Linked DNA regions of Mytilus edulis. The protein of the gene in region 1 purifies or fractionates together with the protein of each later gene. This does not show direct contact. Links are inferred from orthologs where the notes say so. Each region holds a gene or a part of one and is shown on either strand. Other genes may lie near its edges. The genes, in order: 3-phosphoinositide-dependent protein kinase 1-like and 14-3-3 protein epsilon-like.

Region 1 (10,813 bases):
ATTTGCTCTGAATGCTTTGGTTTTTGAGTGATAAGCCAAAAACTGCATTTTACCCCTATGTTCTATTTTTAGCCATGGTGGCCATCTTGGTTGGTTGGCGGGGTCACCAGACACAATTTTTAAACTAGATACCACAATGATGATTGTGGCCAAGTTTGGTTTAATTTGGTCAAGTAGTTTCAGAGGAGAAGATTTTTGTAAAAGATAACTAAGATTTACGAAAAATGGTTAAAAATTTACTATAAAGGGCAATAACTCCTAAAGGGGTCAACAGACCATTTTGGTCATGTTGACTTATTTGTAGATCTTACTTAGCTGAACATTTTTGCTGTTTACAGTTTATCTCTATCTATAATACCAAAAACAGCAAAATTTCCTTAAAATTACCAATTCAGGGGCAGCAACCTATCAACGAGTTGTCCGATTCATCTCAAAATTTCAGGGCAGATAGATCTTGACCTAATAAACAATTTTTCTACAAGTCAGATTTGCTCTAAATGCTTTGGTTTTTGAGTGATAAGCCAAAAACTGCATTTTACCCCTATGTTCTATTTTTAGCCATGGCGGCCATCTTGGTTGGTTGGGCAGGTCACCAGACACAATTTTTAAACTAAATACCCTAATAATGATTTTGGCCATGTTTGGTTAAATTTGGCCCAGCAGTTTCAGAGGAGAAGATTTTTGTAAAAGTTAACGACGACGGACGCAGGATGACGGACGATGGACGCCGGACGCCAAGTGATGAGAAAAAACTCACTTGGCCCTTCGGGCCAGGTGAGCTAATAAAAAGAGAAAACAAATGTCTACATTTATACAATATAAAAAAGATACATATGGCAAACTGTGACCACCAAAAACCCCTGGATGGCAGGTTCTGGCTTTGGACAATCATACCATACAGCAAATATTGTTAGCTTATTGCTTATAGTATCTGAGAAACAGATTTATCATGTTTATGTTAAAAAAACATCAGGGTTAACTTATAAAAAATGCCAGGACCTAATAGAGTGAAAAATAAAAAGGCAGAACAGAGAAACAGACCTAATAATGAAAACTGAACAATGACTAATGAACCATAAAAATTAAGTCAAAGTCATATTAAATAACCCTGCCAGACAACATATACATGCAATAATTCAATACACTAAATATAGTGGGCCTATTGTAGTAGGATCTGAAAAATAAATCAAACCACAAAAACTTAATATTGCTAATATTCAAAATCAATGAACCATGTCTAAAATACTAAAATAACTGTTTGACAAATATCATGAACTATCCATCAGAAGTTTTCTTTTAACTGCAGACATAAATGCAAACTTTAACATGTAAAATATCCAAATGAAACATGTATGAGGGCCAAGAAAGACCCCACAATTTTAATTGAAATTTAGTATGTACATTTAGCCACTAGTCAGATGCCTGGACAAGTAAAAAAAATATTCTGAATAGTAATTTTTTACAAAACATTATTTAAACACTCAGAAAAATGTTTAAAACTAGGTCTTCCAACCAGCAGTCAGAAAAGATTTGGTGCACACTGTACATGCTGGAAATTAGACTTGCAAATGCCAATACAACTCCATACTTTAAATCAGAGAACCATCTTAGACTGACCGAATATGGTGACATATAGTTGTTAATTTCTGTGTCATTTGGTCTCTTGTGGAGAGTTGTCTGATTGACAATCATATCAAATCTTCTTTTTTATATTTATCATAAACTTTAATATAAATATGAATGTAAACTACAAAAAGTTTCAATGTCACAAGACCAAAGTTCTCCAATCAAAGAGCTGATAGCTCTGAAGTGGAAGAAGGTGAATAAAAGGTAACTTGAATTACCATAAAAGCAGCCCCACTTACCCAGGCTGCTTTGTTCCATTATCGTTAAAATGTATTTTTTTTCTTCAAACAAGAAAAGGTCATAAGTACATGGATTTCCCATCCGTACAATCATTTTCTATGTTCAGTTGACTATGAAAATTAGGTAAAATCTTTAATTTGGCAGTAATTAAGAAGATCATATCAAGAGGAACACATGTGTACTAAGTTTCAAGTTGATTGGATTTCAACTTCATCAAAAACTACCTCGACCATAAACTTTATAACCAGAAGCAGGACGGACGGACAGACTAGAAAACATATTGCCCATAAATGGAGCATAAAAATAGTAAGACTTGTTACATACCTGCCAACTTTTGAAAGTTCCCATATGGGTTTTTACTGCACAACAACAAAATTAAAGGTTACAATTTTTAGCGATGTATTTTGCAAGATCTGGATTGTCTAGAAAAAGTGTCATATTTGTATGAACTTACATGACTTACATGCCTTTTCCTTAAGTCTGTTTGCATAATTCTAGTTATATATTAAATTGGTAGAAAAATTATACGTGAAGCTAGCAGAAGCTAGACTATTAGCCTAGTTGCACTTATTATATGTTGACTTTAAACCTGTTATAAACAAATTTAATATATAAACTTCAATTTAATCCTTGAAAGGAGGTCTAAATTAATAAAATAATTTATAAATTTTAATTTTTTTATTTGTCCAAAATCATTTAAATTCATTTAATCAACATCCTTTTATGATTATTTGATTAAAATATCAATCATTTATAGTCTTTTTACCATTTACATTTTTAAAAGCAAAATAACTGAAAACAGGATAAAACAAAGGGAAGTAACAAAAAAGTATTTCAATATTCCCAATACACATCGTTTTGATAACACAACGGCAGTTAGCCGGAGGTAAACATCGTTGATTACCAGTATGTTTGACACCCAAGCTGTCAAGTGAAGCCATATAATTATACATCTTCTTTGATGTTCAGGTAAAATTTAACACAGGTGTCAATTACACCCGTACAGTAGTAAGAAATGATCAAATATGGCGTCTGAAAAATTTCATACACGGGAGTTTTTTCTCCTAAACGGGAGGTTCACATGTATGTTACGAAGGGCATCTAATTCACATGACAAAGGAAACCCATGAATAAAGATAACACTTTATATATCCTTTTTATTTATATAAAAATAAAATCTTCTTGTCTGCAGGATTGCAAATTCGTAACTTCAAGGGCGAACTTGTAAACAGGGTGAGTTGTACCGATACCAAATTCACGCATGCGTAATACAAATATCTACAGTTAAAACATCCTGTTACAAGTAAACAAATTACGTGCATGTGGATGAGATGAAATCTAATAATTTACATAAATAAAAGGGTCATATTTACGATAGTGATTGTTTTACAATCATAATTTACAAATTAAATGATTCAGATGCTCAATCATGTATAAAAATCGGTGTCAGGAATCTAAGTTGTTTTGAAATTGTAATACACGAAATGAATGCGGCATACGGAGACTCAAAGCCAATGGTCGGCCCCTTAAGTCTTCAGAAGACTTGACGTCTTCTTCCACTAAAAATGTGGTCCAAGGTCCTAACAAACAAAATTTGGCAAAGGACTAATACAATTTTGGTATATTCAGTGTTTCCATAAGAACCGGCCGCTGGCCAAATTGACCGTTTCAAACAGTTATTTGGCCAGTTCAATCGTCATCAGTCAAAAAAAAATAGGTGCATATTTTACTTATACGACTATTCTATACGTCGTAACTTTATTATTATCTAGAGGTTTTATTTATGTTTGAGAGTTCCGGTTTGTATTTCTATCGGAACACATGGTCGTTATCCATCGAAAGAGACTTATAAGAAAAATCCCGATAGATATCGAGTATATATGCAAGTCATGCAATGTCAAGGTCATTAAAAACTTTCATTTGTTGAACTGTTGACGATGAAACGTTCCATCACAGATTTTTTCCCCGCTAAGCGACACAAAGGTTTGGATTTTTATGATAAAACAATTTATAACGTTTGCATGCATTATTTTTCAATTTGTTCTGTTGTGTTTTATAAATAGTCGCGAATGAATCGATGACATAATTGTCAATTTGGTTCAAATGCACTACGCTGGATCGAAGATTCGACAGCTAGTCAATATTCCCCGATCGGGAGACAGCCTCCAGATCTAGAGATGTCTCTATATTGGGAGACATGGAATACATTGTTTATCTCCTGATTTGATATGACCCAACAGGCCTGAATACTTCAAGAAAATATGGAAAATTTCCAACGATAAAGGAATATTTACAAATCATTATTTTTTACACATCATGTTGTGTTGTCTAAAGTCTATGAGTTCTAAAAACAAGAAGATTTTCATTCTTTTATTTGTATTTCTATTACAACTTAAATATATTACAAAATTATTTCAAAACAAAAGCAAGACATGATTATATAGAATAAAGTGTGCATCCTATCTATAATTAAAATTTCTAATAAATAAAATTGCTGTATCCAATACAGAATTTGAACAGTATACTCAATTTTGTCAATGTTTAAATTATAGCAGTATTCAAACTCTTAAAATTGTGCAGACAAATTTATTTAGAAAAAAAGTTCTGCTGGTAGTATGTCAATTTGACCAGCATGAAATACTGTCTTAAAATTCACCAGATGCCAGGATTTTGAATCTAGATTTCAATGAATGTCTTTCCATTGACCGCCTACTTATTCATTTTGGCCTGTTAGGCCAAAATGAATGGAAAACCCTGCATATTGCAAATTAATAGTAAATAAATAAGTGTGATTTATTTGATGTGAAATGTTTTAAAATGTGAGAATTTGGGAATGCAATCAGCACCATTTTTTAATTATCCTGTCTCCATTCTGTGCAGAAATGAATTCGATTATAACAAATTTGAAGTGACAGATAACAAGTCTGATACTCTGGCATCACTTTAAAACTACAGTGTACATGTATATATTTGAATGACATTTTATTGATATCACCAGAAACTATTAGGGTAATAGCGAGTACTTTTCTAACACATGTCAGTTTCTGTATTGCATCTTTATTGAATATGTTCTGATGATAAAATCAGCTATAATTTGGTAGCGTCAAGTCCTGTCAATATACAATGTATGTTCCTGGGCGGGTGCATAAGAAATTTATGATACAACACAAAACCTTTAAAAAGAGGTCATGTATAATTTGGATGCAAAAGTGAAGGGAGTAAACCTGAATGTGAGTAAACTAGATTTTGCTGAAGGTACCCAGATTCAGGTGCATCTGTTTTCAAGGCTCATTGTAAACAACTTGTGTTCTGATGGAGGCTACAAGTTGGATAATTTCACTATCAACTAGTATCAGCCTACCAGGATAGGTTTGGTTTTAAAAGAAGAAACAGGTAACTACCTTCACAGAACCTACCAAATTCGTACTATCAAATGAAATGGCTTTAGGAATATAGACACAAGAGATAAAGTTATGTTTCTGAGTTCAGACAGTTGCAAAAACAGTGACAAAATTTGCTGTAAATTATTTACATGGTAAATACTTATGGCATCTGTAACATTACCTAGTACTTTAGATTTATTGGCAATCAGATCAGGCAATTGACAAGTTATTGTCTTTTGTAGATCTTGTTTCTCGTATGAAAAACAACCTCACATTTGATTCCGGAAATAGGTTCTGTCATCCGCCATTCACGAAAGTCCCGGATGTTGTAAATGCTATAAATAGATACAAATTTGTTTTGTGAATATCTGATATATAAATGCTAAATGAAAGTTGAATTATAAGTTACTTTATGCATACTATTGTTTGAATTATGTATTTCTCCAAAACATTGAAAAGCCGATGCAATAAGGATGTTCATCAGATCTTGCGCAAATGCGCTTGCGTTTGGTTACCTTTCAACTTCCGGATTTGACAAAAATAAGAAGATGCCGGGTTGAAATTTTAAAGAAAGTGAATTAACTTTGTATTTAGACTTACTTTGCGATAACAGATATGTGTTTCTAACTGGTAATTGAATGATCCATACCACAATCATTTTGGGTGATTTTACGTTGTTTTAACAGTGAATTTTGCATACACCCAAACAAATGTCCATTCCCAATATCTGTATAATGAATAATTTTGATGACAGTACTCTTTCAAAGGGTGTGACTTTTTGTTTCATTTCCCTTTCCATTAAAAAGATAAATATGCAAAGATTTTCATTGTAAATTTGAAGTTTGGACTGACAAATTTGTATAGCACATGGATAACTTTCACTAAATCTGTTGGATGTGTACAGTTTGATACTTTAGTGTCTGATACACTTTATGGTTATTTAGAAATTTGTCCTACTTGACCAAAAAATCTGTCTTCCTCTAACTTTTGATGTCAAACAACAATCACTTTTCCATTGTCATGTCAGATAGTTTCTATTATAACGTCACAATTTTACGGGAACTTTTGTGATGCCCAGTCAAAGGGAACCAATAGAATAAGGTGTATTACTTACTTAATGATGTTTTCCGGTACAGGATCCTCACGGTTCCTCTTCACCAGACTCATATAATTGAATATTGTCTCCATTATTTCTGATGCTGCTTCCAGTTAATTCAGCTCGATAATCAGAACAATAGATTTCTTCGTACTCCCAGTATCTATCTAGTCTATTTTTGAATGAGTTTATAGATGGCGCTTTAGTTACTTTATCTGGTAACTTGTTCCATAATTTGGCTATTCTTACAGAAAAACTGTTTTCCTCAGACTTGTTTTGAATCGTTGGTGAATGATTTTATTACTGTTTAGTGAAACAGTTTACTCTTGTGCTACAATGTATGTCTATTTTCAGTGCTTGAAATTAATTTAAGGAAAGAACTCGTTTCTGGATCGTAATTACCATTTAGTATCTTATATGTCTCAATCATGTCCCCTCGAACCCTTCTATATTACAATGTTGCCAGTTTTTTCAGTCTTTCCGGGTAGCTCAGTTTATTGAATCCTGGTATCTGTCGTGTTGCCCTTTTTTGTACATTTTCGATTTTGTCGATGGATTTCTTTTTAAAAGGTGACCATACAGAGCTAGCATAGTCTAAGTGTGTTCGCACTAATGTTTTGTATAGAGGTATGAAGATTTTTTCGTTTAAGTTTTTAAATGTCCTTCTAATTGCGGCAAAAGTTGAATTAGCTTTGTTCACTTTTTCGCATATGTGTCTTTCAAAGGTTAGATCTTCATCAATTACTACTCCAATATCTTTCTCTTCTTGACATTTACTTATATCATGACCTAATAGTTTGTAACTTGTCTTTTCTTCTCTTACCCCTCTACTTATATTTATGTGTTTGCATTTTTCTGGATGGAACTTCAACAGCCATGTATCACTCCATTTCTCGAGATTTTTTAGATCATCTTGCAATATAGTTTGATCTGTTTTGCTTTCAATAATTCTAAAGATTTTTGTGTCATCTGCGAATAAGTAGGCATCTGATGTCACGCAATCTGGCAAATCATTTATGTATAGAACAAATAACAGGGGACCTAATACTGAGCCTTGTGGAATTCCCGATGTTACATCTTTCCACTCTGATGTATTAGTGGGGATAACCTGATTTCTTTACATGCTGCTTTTGGCTTTGAACTACTTTTGTAACTTAGTGTACTCTTATATCTGCTTTGTGGCTAATGTTTATGTTAGTTGTTTATTGTGTGCTCCATATCGATTTATTTAGTCCTATGACAGTGTTCCAGCTAGAATTTGAAAATGAGTGGCGGGTTTTTAAAAAAGGGCACTTAAGCACGTTCTCACTGAAAAAAATCAAATACTTAATATAACCACATTATGACATATTTTTAGCAAGCATGTAGCTAAGTTCAACAGTCTATACTATTATATACTAGTTTAAAAATCATTTATTTAGAATTTATAAGTTAAAATCAAACTGAGAGCACTAATAGTCATTACTATATTCATTTCTCTTCCAGAACTACAGATTTTTTCAAAGAAGAGTTCAAATGCAAAGAAATATAAAAAGACATTGACAAGTTTTCTGTTTTTCTTTTTGAAGAAGGTTGTCACACATTGATCAAGAATTTTTTCAAATTTAACTTCATCACAGTTTAATTTTACAGTTAATATTTTTGTTAATGTCTGTGTTTTGTCAACTGTTGATCCAAATATGTCAAGTGGTGCAGAATAAAAAATAAAACTTACAGAGCATCCTTCACTGCTTTTTGTGCACCAGGAGACATATTAGAAGCCATGTCATCAAGGGTGTGTGCCATATCTAAAGTTATTGCACATTTATGATGTTCACGATCTTGATGGATTTGTATCTTATCTTTGCGCAACAGTTTATAACCTACAGTAGACCATGTCTGACTACCATTACTTCCGTGTGATTGATGCTGGTTACAAACTTTGCAAAGCATGACATCAACTAATGCTCCATCCTAACTAAAGTCTTTGTCAAAATGTAACCAGGAATACTGTTTCAACCAATTATTATTTATACCAACTTTGTGTTTCCCACTAGGATTTCTTGTTCGTGTGGAGGGTAAGCATGGTTAGGATTTTCTTGAGTTGCTTCATTTGCTTGTATTTGTGGTTGTATAAAGTTTTGGCTGTCTCAATTACAATTTCAGGGGTCTTATTTCCATCATTACTGAAAGGAGATAGGGAGAGTGGGGTAATCTTTACATTGAAAATTGAGTAGGTTTGGTTGTGAATTTAAATAAGAGTGTCAATGAGACAAATGTCTTTATTTCGATCTTCAGAAATAGCTTAATTCAACAAATAAGTTTGTTATTCAACTGTGAAAGGTTATAATCAATTCAACAAGCATCTCCGTATAGTTCATGTTGAGCTTATCTAATAATATCAATATTAAAGTTAGTCAAAACAGATTTCAATTTAAGAAAAATGATATAAAAATCGGACTTTTGAGTGCTCCGTAATTGGCGGAATTTACAATAGAAGAACAATTGCAATAGTCAGCGGTGGCGTCCGAAGACTTGGTTTTCACACTCTAACTTTAGTATAAGTGAATAGAAATCTATAAAATTTAAACAGAAGGTTTATGACCATAAAAGAAAGGTTTGGGATTGATTTTGGGAGTTTTGGTCCCAACTGTTTGGGAATTATGGGCCAAAAAGGGCCCAAATAAGCATTTTCTTGGATTTCGCACTATAACTTTAGTTTATAAGTAAATAGAAATCTATGAAATTTTGACACAAGGTTTATGACCACTAAAGGAAGGTTTGGATTGATTTTGGGAGTTTTGGTCCCAACAGTTTAGGAATTAGGGGCCCAAAAAGGGCCCAAAAACCATTATTCTTTGTTTTCGCACAATAACTTTAGTATAAGTAAATAGAAATCAATGAAATTTAAACACAAGGTTTATAAACACAAAAGGAAGGTTGGGTTTGATTTTGGGAGTTTTGGTCCCAACAGTTTAGGAATAAGGGGCTCAAAGGGTCCAAAATTAAACTTTGTTTGAATTCATCAAAAATTGAATTATTGGGGTTCTTTCATATGCCGAATCTAACTGTGTATGTAGATTCTTAATTTTTGGTCCTATTTTCAAATTGGTCTACATTAAGGTCCAAAGGGTTTCAAAATCAAACTAAGTGTGATTTTAACAAAAATTTAATTCTTGGGGTTCTTTGATATGCTGAATCTAAACATGTACTTATATTATTTATTATGAGCCCAGTTTTCAAGTTGGTCCAAATCGTGGCCCAAAATTAAACTTTGTTTGATTTCAACAAAAATTGAATCCTTGGGGTTCTTTGATATGCTGAATCTAAACATGTACTTATAATTATTTTTATTATGGGCCGAGTTTTCAAGTTGGTCCAAATCATGGTCCAAAATTAAACTTTGTTTAATTTCAATAAAAATGGTATGTATGGGGTTCTTTGATATATGCTTAATCTAACCATGTATTTAAATTTTGATGTTTGGGCCAGGTTATAAGTTGGTCCACATTGAGGTCTAAAGGGTCCAAAATTGAACTTTATTTGATTTCATCAAAAATTGAATTCTTGGGGTTCTTTGACATGTTGAATCTAACCATGTATTTAGATTTTGGATATTGGACCATAATAGGTAATGTCCAATTTAAAATTTAAAGTTTTAAGTTTAAGTTCTTAGACCACATTCATTATGTGTCAGAAACCTGTGTTGTGTCAACTATTTAATCACAATCCAAATTCAGAGCTGTATCAAGCTTGAATGTTGTGTCCATACTTGCCCCAATGTTCAGGGTTCAAACTCTGTGGTCGTATAAAGGTGCGCCCTGCGGTGCATCTGGTTAAGTTGGTTTTCTTGTTAGAATTGTTTTCCATTTTCACGTTGGGCCGTTTATAGCAGACTTCATGGTATGGGTTTTACTTATTAATAAAGGCTGTATGGTGACCTCAGTCCTGGTGTACTATTCAGTGTCTATTGAGTGCTGGCTAACTTATTTTATAATGGTGAAAATTAATTAGAATTTGCTTTAATAAATTATGTGTTGGTTATGAATTATTTATTGGCTAAATGGCCCATAGAGTTGCATATAATCTGAAACAAAACATCAAAAAGTTTTGATATAATTTTAGTACATTGTATATAGATTTGTAGAAAACAAGTTTATAAAGTTATTGATCATTAATTTTACTTGTCCTAAGATCAAAATTAACATGCTATTTCACATTATAGGTATATATTGATCGGAAAAATGTCTCAAATTCAAGAGGGAGGTGATGGCAATAAAAAGCCAGTGAAAAAGACACCAAATGACTTTATGTTTGGAAAGGTCATTGGAGAAGGTTCATATTCTACAGTAAGTATTAAATCTTGAAAGCAAAGTTGCATATACATTGTATATATGCATTCTTGAACTACAAGAACATGTACATTCTTTTAGTTACAAGTAATTTTAAAAAGGAAGAATTATACCCACTTGTATTTATAACAAAGCAT
Region 2 (10,586 bases), on another chromosome or scaffold:
ATTAGATAGGGGATTTTTGGGACGTCCGTATTGTTGGCTTACTTCGTATTTCATTTGGCTTAAAACCTTCTATGATTAGAGCGATACTGATGAGTCTTTTATAGACGGAACCAGAGGTGGATTTAGGGGGCAGGGGGCCCGCCCCCCCCCCCTTTTGGGGAAAAAATTTGGTTGCTTATATAGGGAATCAATGAAGCGTGACTGGAGCGGGCCCCCTCTTAGGTCAGTCAGTGGGCCCCCACTTATGAAAATTTCTGGATCCGCCACTGGGAACTCCCGTCTGATGTTCATTATTATTATTTTAGTAAGCCTGATATCATCAATGTTTTTCCCAATTTGTAATAAACCATTTACTTAGTTTTGTCTACTATTTGAAACCCGTTATAAATACAGAAATATGGGCGCAAACGTTCAGAGTGTTTTGCTCTTCAAATATATATATATATATATAGTCCGGCGTTTGAATTTGCGCCGATTTTTTCTTTCATTTGCGCTGATTTTTTTTTTTCAATTGCGCTGATTTTTTTTTATTTGCGCCGATTATTTTTACAGGTAACTTACAGGTGAATGTTATTTTCTATTTATCATTATCACTGGTGGTAAGCGGATGGTCGTAACTAAAAGTTACTAAAAGTTACGACCATCTGAATATGGGAGACAACTATAGGGGTAAGTTTTTCTTTTCCGATTTTCGTGCAGTAAAAGGTTCATTTGAGTCAAACCGCTTGTCTCATATACACATATGTGAGTGCATTCTTATTGAAACCAAATTTGACACATAAAATCATTCCAATTTTCGTAAAATAGTCATTCAAAAATTCGAGCATGATGGTCGTAATGTCAACTATAGTATTTTGGATGATGGTCGTAACCGACACAAGATGGTCGTAACTTTGAGAGATGACCGTAACTCAAGTATTTAGACGAACTTTTATCAAGTTATTTTAAAAGTACTGTGCACATGCATAACCATGTTAATAAACTCAGTTGTTATATAAAGTTTACTACAAAAAATATTATTTCATTTGTTACTCTGATAATGGTATGCAGAAATTAAGTTAAAGAATTATCAATCATACATTTTTGATATGTTCCAAACGACCATCGTTTAGGAGAAACAGTGAAAACTAATCAACTCACATTAAGCCAAATAGTATGTTAGGGTTGAGTATTAATATATTTTTACTGTACGTTAAGGCATAAAATTGTTGAATATTTGCTTTCAGAATTTTTGACCCGCCCCTGGAGAATAGGTGCATTATATTGTATGCTCAAAAACATGAAGGCTGTTTTTTAAACTTGAATTCAGTGACAGAAAGTCCTTGCGTAGCTTATGGTAGGCTTTTAACGCCTGTTTTTAAAATAAAAAAATCATGTTTGATATGTCTGCCTGTCTTGTTAAATACTATGGCTTGGTTTTATTGGGATTAATTTTCAAACAACGATCTTAATCCATCAAGTTTACTTTGAAGTCCTTTTGCTGAAGTAGTAAAATGGCAAGATCATCAGCATATGTATAGTAAAGAATAGGCTGGTCGTGAATAAACGACAGCTGGATCAGGGGAACTTTTAACACAATCAGGAAGTTCATTTATAAAACTTTTAAACAAATTTGGACTCAAATTGTCTCCCTGTTTTACTCCAACTTTAGTTCTAAAGAGATCTCTTACCATACTCTCTAACTATATTCAATAGCTTAAGTTTTATCCCTGGGAGAATGACAGTATTAAAAGCCTTCTGGAAATCATCAAAGCAAGCAAACATTCTACCTTCTTTTGTATTACAATACTTATTTATAATAGTTTTTAGAATGAACATATGGTCAGATGGTACCGGTCATGTTTTTTTTTTTTTTTTTTTTTTTGATAAACCCAATTTGGCTCTCATCAATGATATGATATTTATCTAAGGATTTACAAAGACGTGTATCAAGTATCTTATTAAAAAGGCTTCCTCAATGAATCAGTAATTGTAATTCCTCGGTAGTTATTAAGATCGGATGCATCATTCCCTTTATGAATTGGGAATAAAAAACGTTTGGTCCAGGGTTCCTGGTATTTTTCATAAGAAAGATAAAGATGTATAACGGATAGCATGGTACCAATAGGCGTATTCAGAATTTTCAAAAACCACGGGTAATAATTATACCTGAACTTCGAATTTGCACCTTATAATCAGCTTGACTATATACCAAATGACAATACGACTTCTCAAAATCCAGGCTAAGAATAAGATGTATGTTGTTTAATTCAATTACGGACCTGCGAATTCGCGGATATGGTCTCCAACGATCCCCATAACATTATTTTGACTCCTTACTTATGCTCTTTCGACTTAAAGTATCAATTTTAAATTGTAGATTTTTCTTTTAAATTCCACCTAGTAGGTACATACTAGTTTTTAAAAAGTTTATCTTTTCAATCCATGCAAAATATAAAGAAAATAAATCAGGATACTGTTATTTCATGTGATGTCAAATTTGTTAAAAATCGCCTTTTCTTAATTCGTAACTAAGAATGATCATAACAAGAGCTGTGTGTTAAAATGAATTCTCCACTTTTGAGAATTTATATTGTTATTAAACTTAACAGCTTATAATTAGTTGCCTCTTGGTTGATTTTATACATTATATTTTAAGTAACAGTGACTGGTCATTTCATTTTGTATTGGTTTTTTTTTTCGATTCGTTCCAATTTTCTTTCCTTTCGCACTTTACAGGTATCCCTCTCTTCACCTCTATTAGTTTTTATCATTTAGTGAAATCAACTTCACAAATATATCATATAATATATTCATATAACAAAAGACACGTTTAAAACTATTGACTTGTCTTATTAGGTCCTATTTAATAAAGAGTTACGACCATCACAATTTTAAGTTACGACCATCCTGAACATTTTTGTTTTTTTAGTTACGACCATCATGCTCGAATTATTGAATGATCATTTTACGAAAATTGGAATGTTTTTATGTATCAAATTTTGTTTCAATATCAACGCACTGACGATTAGTATGTATGAGACAAGCGGTTTTACTGAAACATTTTTTTACTGCACGAAAATTGGAAAAGAAAAATGTATCCCTAGAGTTGTCTCCCATCTTCGGATGGTCGTAACTTTAAGTTACGACCATCTGCTTACCACCAGTGATTATACGGCCTCTTCCGTTAGCCAGTTGTACAAATGTTATGAATTACATATATAACTGTTGTCCCCTCACTCCAGGGAGATGGAAGTAGGATTAGATTAAACTACATTCAATGTATAGTGCATGCACAAGTATTTACTCGCCTATTTATGTTAAAATATAAATGCAACTAAGCGCAAATATGAAATCGGCGCAAATGGAAGATTGTTTTTTTTTTATTCGGCGCTAATGCCATACGCCCTACAGTCCAAATACGTCAAATATGCCAGAAGACTTCTTTTATGAGTTATTGTCCTGTGACAATTCTTTACCTTTTTCATTTAAATATTGCCTATTATCTTGAAAACTATAATAGAAAAGAGAAGCTTTAAATTGCAAACATGATCAGCAAAACAAGTTCTACAAATCATCATCTAGTGGAAATCGTCTGTCGACGCCTTATTAAAGTTGTTGCCCTTTAATTACGATTTTTACCATTTTTTTGCGTTTTCGCCATATCAACGTAAATAAGCAAAAATTATCAGTAGGCCAAGAACTTAAATTAAGACAATATAGGGGAAAAAATTTGACCACTCCTTATTGGCGTTATTGTCCATTGACAACGATTTTTACCAATTTTTTTTGGCATTTTGTCTTTTATATGGTTAAGATTGTAATAGATAAAAAGACATTTTAAATCACAAAAATTATCAGCAAGTCAAGAACTAACAAGTCAAATTTTGCTGTGTAACGAAATTAATAGACTGTCCAATCTAATTAAAACCTGATCTCTCAATATCAGAAAACGGGAGCGATGAGAGATCGGTTTTTAATTAGATAGTAGACTGTCCTTCTTTTTTCTTAAAATGTAAAATTAATAAATCTTTACGTAAGCAGCTTGAAAAAGATATAAATAATATATGTCCAGAATACTTTAAATTGTCTGAAACAGACAGATAACAATTAATTCTATCTTCATTTGATATTATGCAGCTTACTGTTCCGTTCATTAAAAAGTCATTTGCACTGAGGGGAGTGGACACAACGCCTGCATACTGAATATTACTGTTTTACCACTTTATATATGATGTTTAATATGTTAAATTTCCATTGTGTATATTGTATTGTATTTTTTGTATATACCTTCAACCCCCAGGGGTATAAATGTGCATTTCATAAATAAATTTATAGGAGAAATTGCCCTTAAAAGAGGACTGTTGACCCCTCTTTTGTCAGTGTTGTAAGCAAAAACGTAAGAATTAAGAAAGAGAGAAACTAAACCAGACTGAATGATTAGCGATACAATTCAAGATCAACATAACAGAATTTTTTGTCATGAATTTTATTCTCGTCTATAATGTTGTAGAATGTCCTTTGTTGAATATGCACATAGACTTTAAGGTGAGTGACACAGGCTCCGCTATCGATCCTCTGTTTTTTTCTTCTTCAAATCTGAGTCATAACTCTAATGACAAACAAACTTTTACCATTATGTTAAAAAATTCTACTTTTAGCTCATCCATGATTTTCTTTGCACCCAACATGGCTCGATATTTCTCACTATGCTTTGACAATTTAACGGATATACATGTATACATGTATGACTCTGATAATTTCCTGCGGAAACACATAGGACAATGTATGACTTGTTTCACGAAAAGAACAGAATTTGAGGGAAAGCAATGACATAGACCTGTGGCGTCTATATGGTGCAAGTCTATGATGCAATATGGAAGGGGCCACAGATCTGAGGGAAGGACACATTTTTTAGGCTGGACACAGATTTGAGGCTTACATGTATAACATATAAAAAATGCAATTAAGGCGGTCATAAAAATAGCCCAAAAAATCAGCGCCGTTTAAGGCGGTCATAAAAATAGCCAAAATAAAGAGTTTCAGGCGGTCATTAATCGTGGCAAATCCTGCATGATATTTTCAAGCATAAAATGGAGAGCAAAGACTTCCAAATAGGAGACACGCTCCCATTAATTTATGAATAGTGTATGATAAGCCATTTGTTTTCCACAACGGCTACCCCTAAATCTGCCTCTAATTACGGAATATGGAAGTTCAGAGGCGGGTTGGGTTCGGACAGAGGTTGTTCCCTAAATAAACTGAAACCTTTAAAGCTAGGATTACATAATCATGGATACTATGGTAAATGCATACTTAAACCCCTTTCTTTTTATGCAAAATCCTCAGAATTCGGTATTTTCTTAAAATAAATTCAGCATTTCATTGAAATATAGCCGCTATGACAAAACTGCATTCTCGAAGAGATTATTTCCCTGAATTGTACGATTGTAGATAGCCTGGACCGTATTAAACTGAGTTGCCTTGAAATGACACGAGAATATTGATCAATATTAATTTAAAGACACATATGTTGTATGACAACTGACTTATGATCTGATTAATCAGATTGACTAAAATTTGCCGACCAGCTTGAACCGGAATTGCTTAGCAGACAATGATCTGACTAACACATTTATTTAAAATACTTCTTCTCCGCAATGTTTTCCATCTGCTCAGTGATTTTTCAAGTTAATGCGTTAATTTTGACCTACAAAACGCCGGCTGCATATTTTCAGAGGGTCTTTCACGAAATAGACATTCTAGCTGACAACCTAGTTAACGCAACCTCCTCCCTTAGTCAATCGCTGCGTCGTATTTGTTCATAAAAATTTAAGAAACTGTGAACAGCAAGAAGCGAAAAAAAATCAGTATTATATGTAAGAAAATGTTGTGTCTAGTTGCTTTTTATGATCTTTCAATAAATTACTTTGTTTTGAAAAAAGATTTTTTGACATAAATGACTAAATTTGTACATTTTTTGCATTCATATTGAAGTCAAGGTCACAAATTGACAATCGTAAAATTATTAATATATCGTACTACGTCCGTGTGCAAACGGTGAGTAAATGAATTAATCATGAATGGGCTTGTTCCCGCGCATGGATACAACCGTTAGTAAGGAACTACTTTCATTGGCGGCATCGGCCATTTTAGAACAGTTTACGATAGTAATTTACAATCTTTCTGAATCTTTGCTAAATTGTGGTCATCGAAATGGCTGATAGAGAGGATTTAGTTTACATGGCCAAGTTGGCTGAACAGGCCGAGAGATATGATGGTATTTATTCGTTTACGATACATGTCAACGATTCAATCAAAATATGTCGGCTATCTTGCATTACTTCCTCTCGCATAATTTAAGACGAGGAAGCAGTTAAAACTTCTATTGTATGCCTCTTATTTACCTTTATGTCTGATTTTCTGATTGCATGTCATGTTTAATACTTTACTGGTAAATGTTTTAAACTGTTTTTGTCCGTAGAGGATAATATTTGCAGTTGTGTCCATGGATATTGACATGACACTGACGGTCGCCATTTTGGGTGATTCTAGTTGTTTCTAAATGCAGATTTTGAATATTAAATGCCAGTAAACTGTTCTAAATAAATGTAAAATATGCACAACGTCCATGTATCGTTAGGTTTCTTGAAGTTGAATCTACAATTATATATTGTTTTGCAATGGTGTACATTTGAAAACCATTTGAAATGTATTACACATTTGAACAGTTATTCTTTTAAACTCCCAGACATATCATTTAATGTTAAATGGTCTACCCTTCTGACTGCTCATAATTCAACGAGTTTTCCTTGCATGTGTATGATATGATAATGTTCAATCCACCTGCAGACAAGTTATAACTTTTGATTGTAATAATATAGGAAATAAAACTTGAAGGAGTGGCCTTGGTAGAAACCTAATCTGCAAATTTTTACTATCCCAAAATACTGATTTACTATTTCAATGGTGTGATGTTCTATAAATAATGCATCCATAGACATACAGCCAGTCCGGAAATATGTCCTGTCAAAAATCTGCCATTGTATATACATGTAGTCCAATAAAACGTCTGATTACCCTTTATTGGGTTTGTCACCATCTTTTCTAATAAACATTGATGAAACAACTATTTGGTAACTATCTAAGGCCCAAAAGAAGTTCACTCAATGATTGTTCAACCAAAAACTGGTCTTGGATACCATTTTTGTTCGCTGTTATACTAGTCTGTCGCTTCCACCCCATACATGTATGTAATGCAGAGTTGTCCAGAAGTTGTTACGATCTTATTGGTAATATTGGCCAGCTAACTTTAAAATGCCAACTTGAGTAAGTGAGCTTATCTTTTGGTTGATAAAATCGAACCATAAACTCTAAAGGAAACATTTATGGCGCTGACAGTTTAACCTTTAAAAAATGCTCATAAAAATCAATGCAGGCAGGCAAAATATAAATCATGATCAACTGACTATTATTGCGGTATGTAACAGGAACCAAACCTATTTTTTATTTTGTAAGCTCTAAAAGTCTTCACTATGCACTTTTGTATCCCAATGAACATAAAACACCCCTTTCATTATTAATTCTAGGAAGTCTATAGAGCTTAAACTGTTGCTTTATTACAAAATAAAAAGATTTCTGGTATCCCTACATACCCCAACATAGTCTTCACACATGGCCACAGACTCTGCATCCAAGGCTTGTAAAATCATCTCTACAGGCCATAAGTGTAACAGTAAATTTGGTCCGGTAGTAAAATTTGTCCTCCAGACTTATTTTCCTACTTAATCAAGTTCATGTCCATGATTTTACTAGTAATATAAGTCCTAGGACAAATGTTCCTAGGAAAATAAGTCCATAGCTAGTAAATTATGTCTAGCACTTGTTTTTCTAGGAAAAATTGTCCTAAGACTTGTTTTTCTTTAGAGTTTTATTAAATCATAAAATATATTTAAAATAGATGAAAAAAATGTTAGATAAGATTGGAGAATTTCCTTATTTTTTTCCAATTAAAATGAAGGACATTTTCTTTATAACCTAATTAAAACATGAATATTGAATTCCCATTGCTTATAACATTTTCTTTTATAATAAAAGACATGGACATTTTTACCTAGGAATACTAATGACATAGACATGATTTCCTAGGAAAATTAGTCTGGGGACATGAATTTGATACATACAACTCTTTAACAATATTAAAACATATTACATTTATAATTTTATATTCACCTTTTAAAATTAAGGGCAAAGACATTTTAACCTAGAACTATTAATGACATGGACATGATTTCCTAGGAAAATTAGTCTGGGGACATGAATTTTATCAAAAATATAACTATGCAATTCTTAAACATTACTAAAACATAACATTTAAATTTCCATGGTTTAAATGTAATTGAATTTATTATATGATTTTAAATTAAAGGACATGATTACTTAGGAAAATTAGTCTGGGGACATATATTACTAACATTGGACTAGATATACTAGTAAATTCTGTAACCATGGACTTATTATACTAGTAATGTTTGTCCGCCCAGACATATTTTACCAGGACAAATTTATCACTAACATATGCATCTTAAATAAAATTATATGAAAAAGCAAGACCTAGCAATCCAACATTCCGTCACAAATATTCACTCTGTTAAAAGTTTTTGAAATTTAAATAACTTTCTAAAACTATCCTGGATTTGTACTAAACTTAAACAGAAGCAAGTATATGATTATAAGATAGTATTCAGCAGTAAATTTTGTAAAAATTCCATTCTGTGTTTTACTTATAAATGGACTTAGTTTTTCTGCCTGGAAACAAGACGTTCACTCTGAGGTTAAAGTTTTTATACGACCGCAAATTTTGAAAAAATTTTCGTCGTATATTGCTATCACGTTGGCGTCTGCGTCGTCGTCGTCGTCGTCCGCCGTCCGAATACTTTTAGTTTTCGCACTCTAACTTTAGTAAAAGTGAATAGAAATCTATGAAATTTTAACACAAGGTTTATGACCATAAAAGGAAGGTTGGTATTGATTTTGGGAGTTTTGGTCCCAACATTTTAGGAATAAGGGGCCAAAAAGGGCCCAAATAAGCATTTTCTTGGTTTTCGCACCATAACTTTAGTTTAAGTTAATAGAAATCTATGAAATTTTGACACAAGGTTTATGACCACAAAAGAAAGATTGGGATTGATTTTGGGAGTTTTGGTTTCAATAGTTTAGGAATAAGGGGCCAATAAAGGGCCCAAATAAGCATTTTTCTTGGTTTTTGCACAATAACCTTAGGTTAAGTAAATGGAAATCTATGAAATTTAAACACAATGTTTATGACCACAAAAGGAAGGTTGGTATTTATTTTGGGAGTTTAGGATCCAACAGATTAGGAATTAGGGGCCAAAAAGGGACCCAAATAAGCATTTTTCTTGGTTTTCGCACTATAATGTTAGTATAAGTAAATAGAAATCTATGAAATTTAAACACAAGGCTTATGACCATAAAAGGAAGGTTGGTATTGATTTTGGGAGTTTTGGTCCCAACAGTTTAGGAAAAAGGGGCCCAAAGGGTCCAAAATTAAACTTTGTTTGATTTCATCAAAATTGAATAATTGGGGTTCTTTGATATGCCGAATCTAACTGTATATGTAGATTCTCAACTTTTGGTCCCGTTTTCAAATTGGTCTACATTAAGGTCCAAAGGGTCCAAAATTAAACTTAGTTTGATTTTGACAAAAAATGAATCGGTTGGGTTCTTTGATATGTTGAATCTAAAAATGTACTTAGATTCTTGATTATTGAAGTTTTTTTGGTCCAGTTTTCAAATTGGTCTACATTAAGGTCCAAAGGGTCCAAAATTAAACTTTGTTTGATTTCATCAAAAATTGAATCCTTGGGGTTCTTTGATATGCCAAATCTAACTGTGTATGTAGATTCTTCATTTTTGGTCCTGTTTTCAAATTTCAAATTCTACATTAAAGTCCAAAGGGTCCAAAATTAAACTAAGTTTGATTTTAACAAAAATTGAATTCTTGGGCCTCTTTGATATGCTGAATCTAAACATGTACTTAGATTTTTGATTATGGGCCCAGTTTTCAAGTTGGTCCAAATCAGGATCTAAAATTATTATATTAAGTATTGTGCAATAGCACGTCTTTTCAATTGCACAGTATTGTGCAATGGCAAGAAATATCTAATTGCACAATATTGTGAAATAGCAAATTTTTTTTTAATTAGAGTTATCTTTCTTTGTCCAGAATAGTAAGCAAGAAATATCCTATTTGTGCAATAGCAAGAATTTTTTTTAATTGGAGTTATCTTTCTTTGTCCAGAATCAACTTAAATCTTTGTTATATACAATATACAATGTATATACACTTTTTACTACCAACTGATAAATTTAAATAATCTTTACCATTCAGTGATAACAAGCAGTTTTTTTACATCTTAATATTTTATGATGTATTTAAATGAGTAGTTATTGTTGCAAACTCAAGTAGAAATTTGAATTGATATCAGTTTTGAAAAAGGGAAACGGGGATGTGAAAAAAAAAGGGGGGGGGGGTTAAATTTTTCTCATTTCAGATTTCATAAATAAAAAGAAAATTTCTTCAAACA

The links.
Region 2: the proteins of 3-phosphoinositide-dependent protein kinase 1-like (region 1) and 14-3-3 protein epsilon-like purify together in Homo sapiens (affinity purification with mass spectrometry; 3 studies listed by BioGRID and IntAct, with this or other methods). This does not show direct contact. The link is inferred for Mytilus edulis from reciprocal best matches to the Homo sapiens genes PDPK1 and YWHAE.

Annotation. Positions count from the first base shown.
Region 1 is NC_092352.1:32,967,474-32,978,286, forward strand, and holds the start of 3-phosphoinositide-dependent protein kinase 1-like, read left to right. Parts: upstream 1-5,730; 5' UTR 5,731-5,879; exon of another isoform or gene 5,880-5,912; intron 5,913-10,549; 5' UTR 10,550-10,568; coding exon 10,569-10,673; intron 10,674-10,813. UniProt on the Homo sapiens protein: Serine/threonine kinase which acts as a master kinase, phosphorylating and activating a subgroup of the AGC family of protein kinases.
Region 2 is NC_092349.1:66,415,720-66,426,305, reverse strand, and holds the start of 14-3-3 protein epsilon-like, read left to right. Parts: upstream 1-6,024; 5' UTR 6,025-6,195; coding exon 6,196-6,259; intron 6,260-10,586. UniProt on the Homo sapiens protein: Adapter protein implicated in the regulation of a large spectrum of both general and specialized signaling pathways. Binds to a large number of partners, usually by recognition of a phosphoserine or phosphothreonine motif.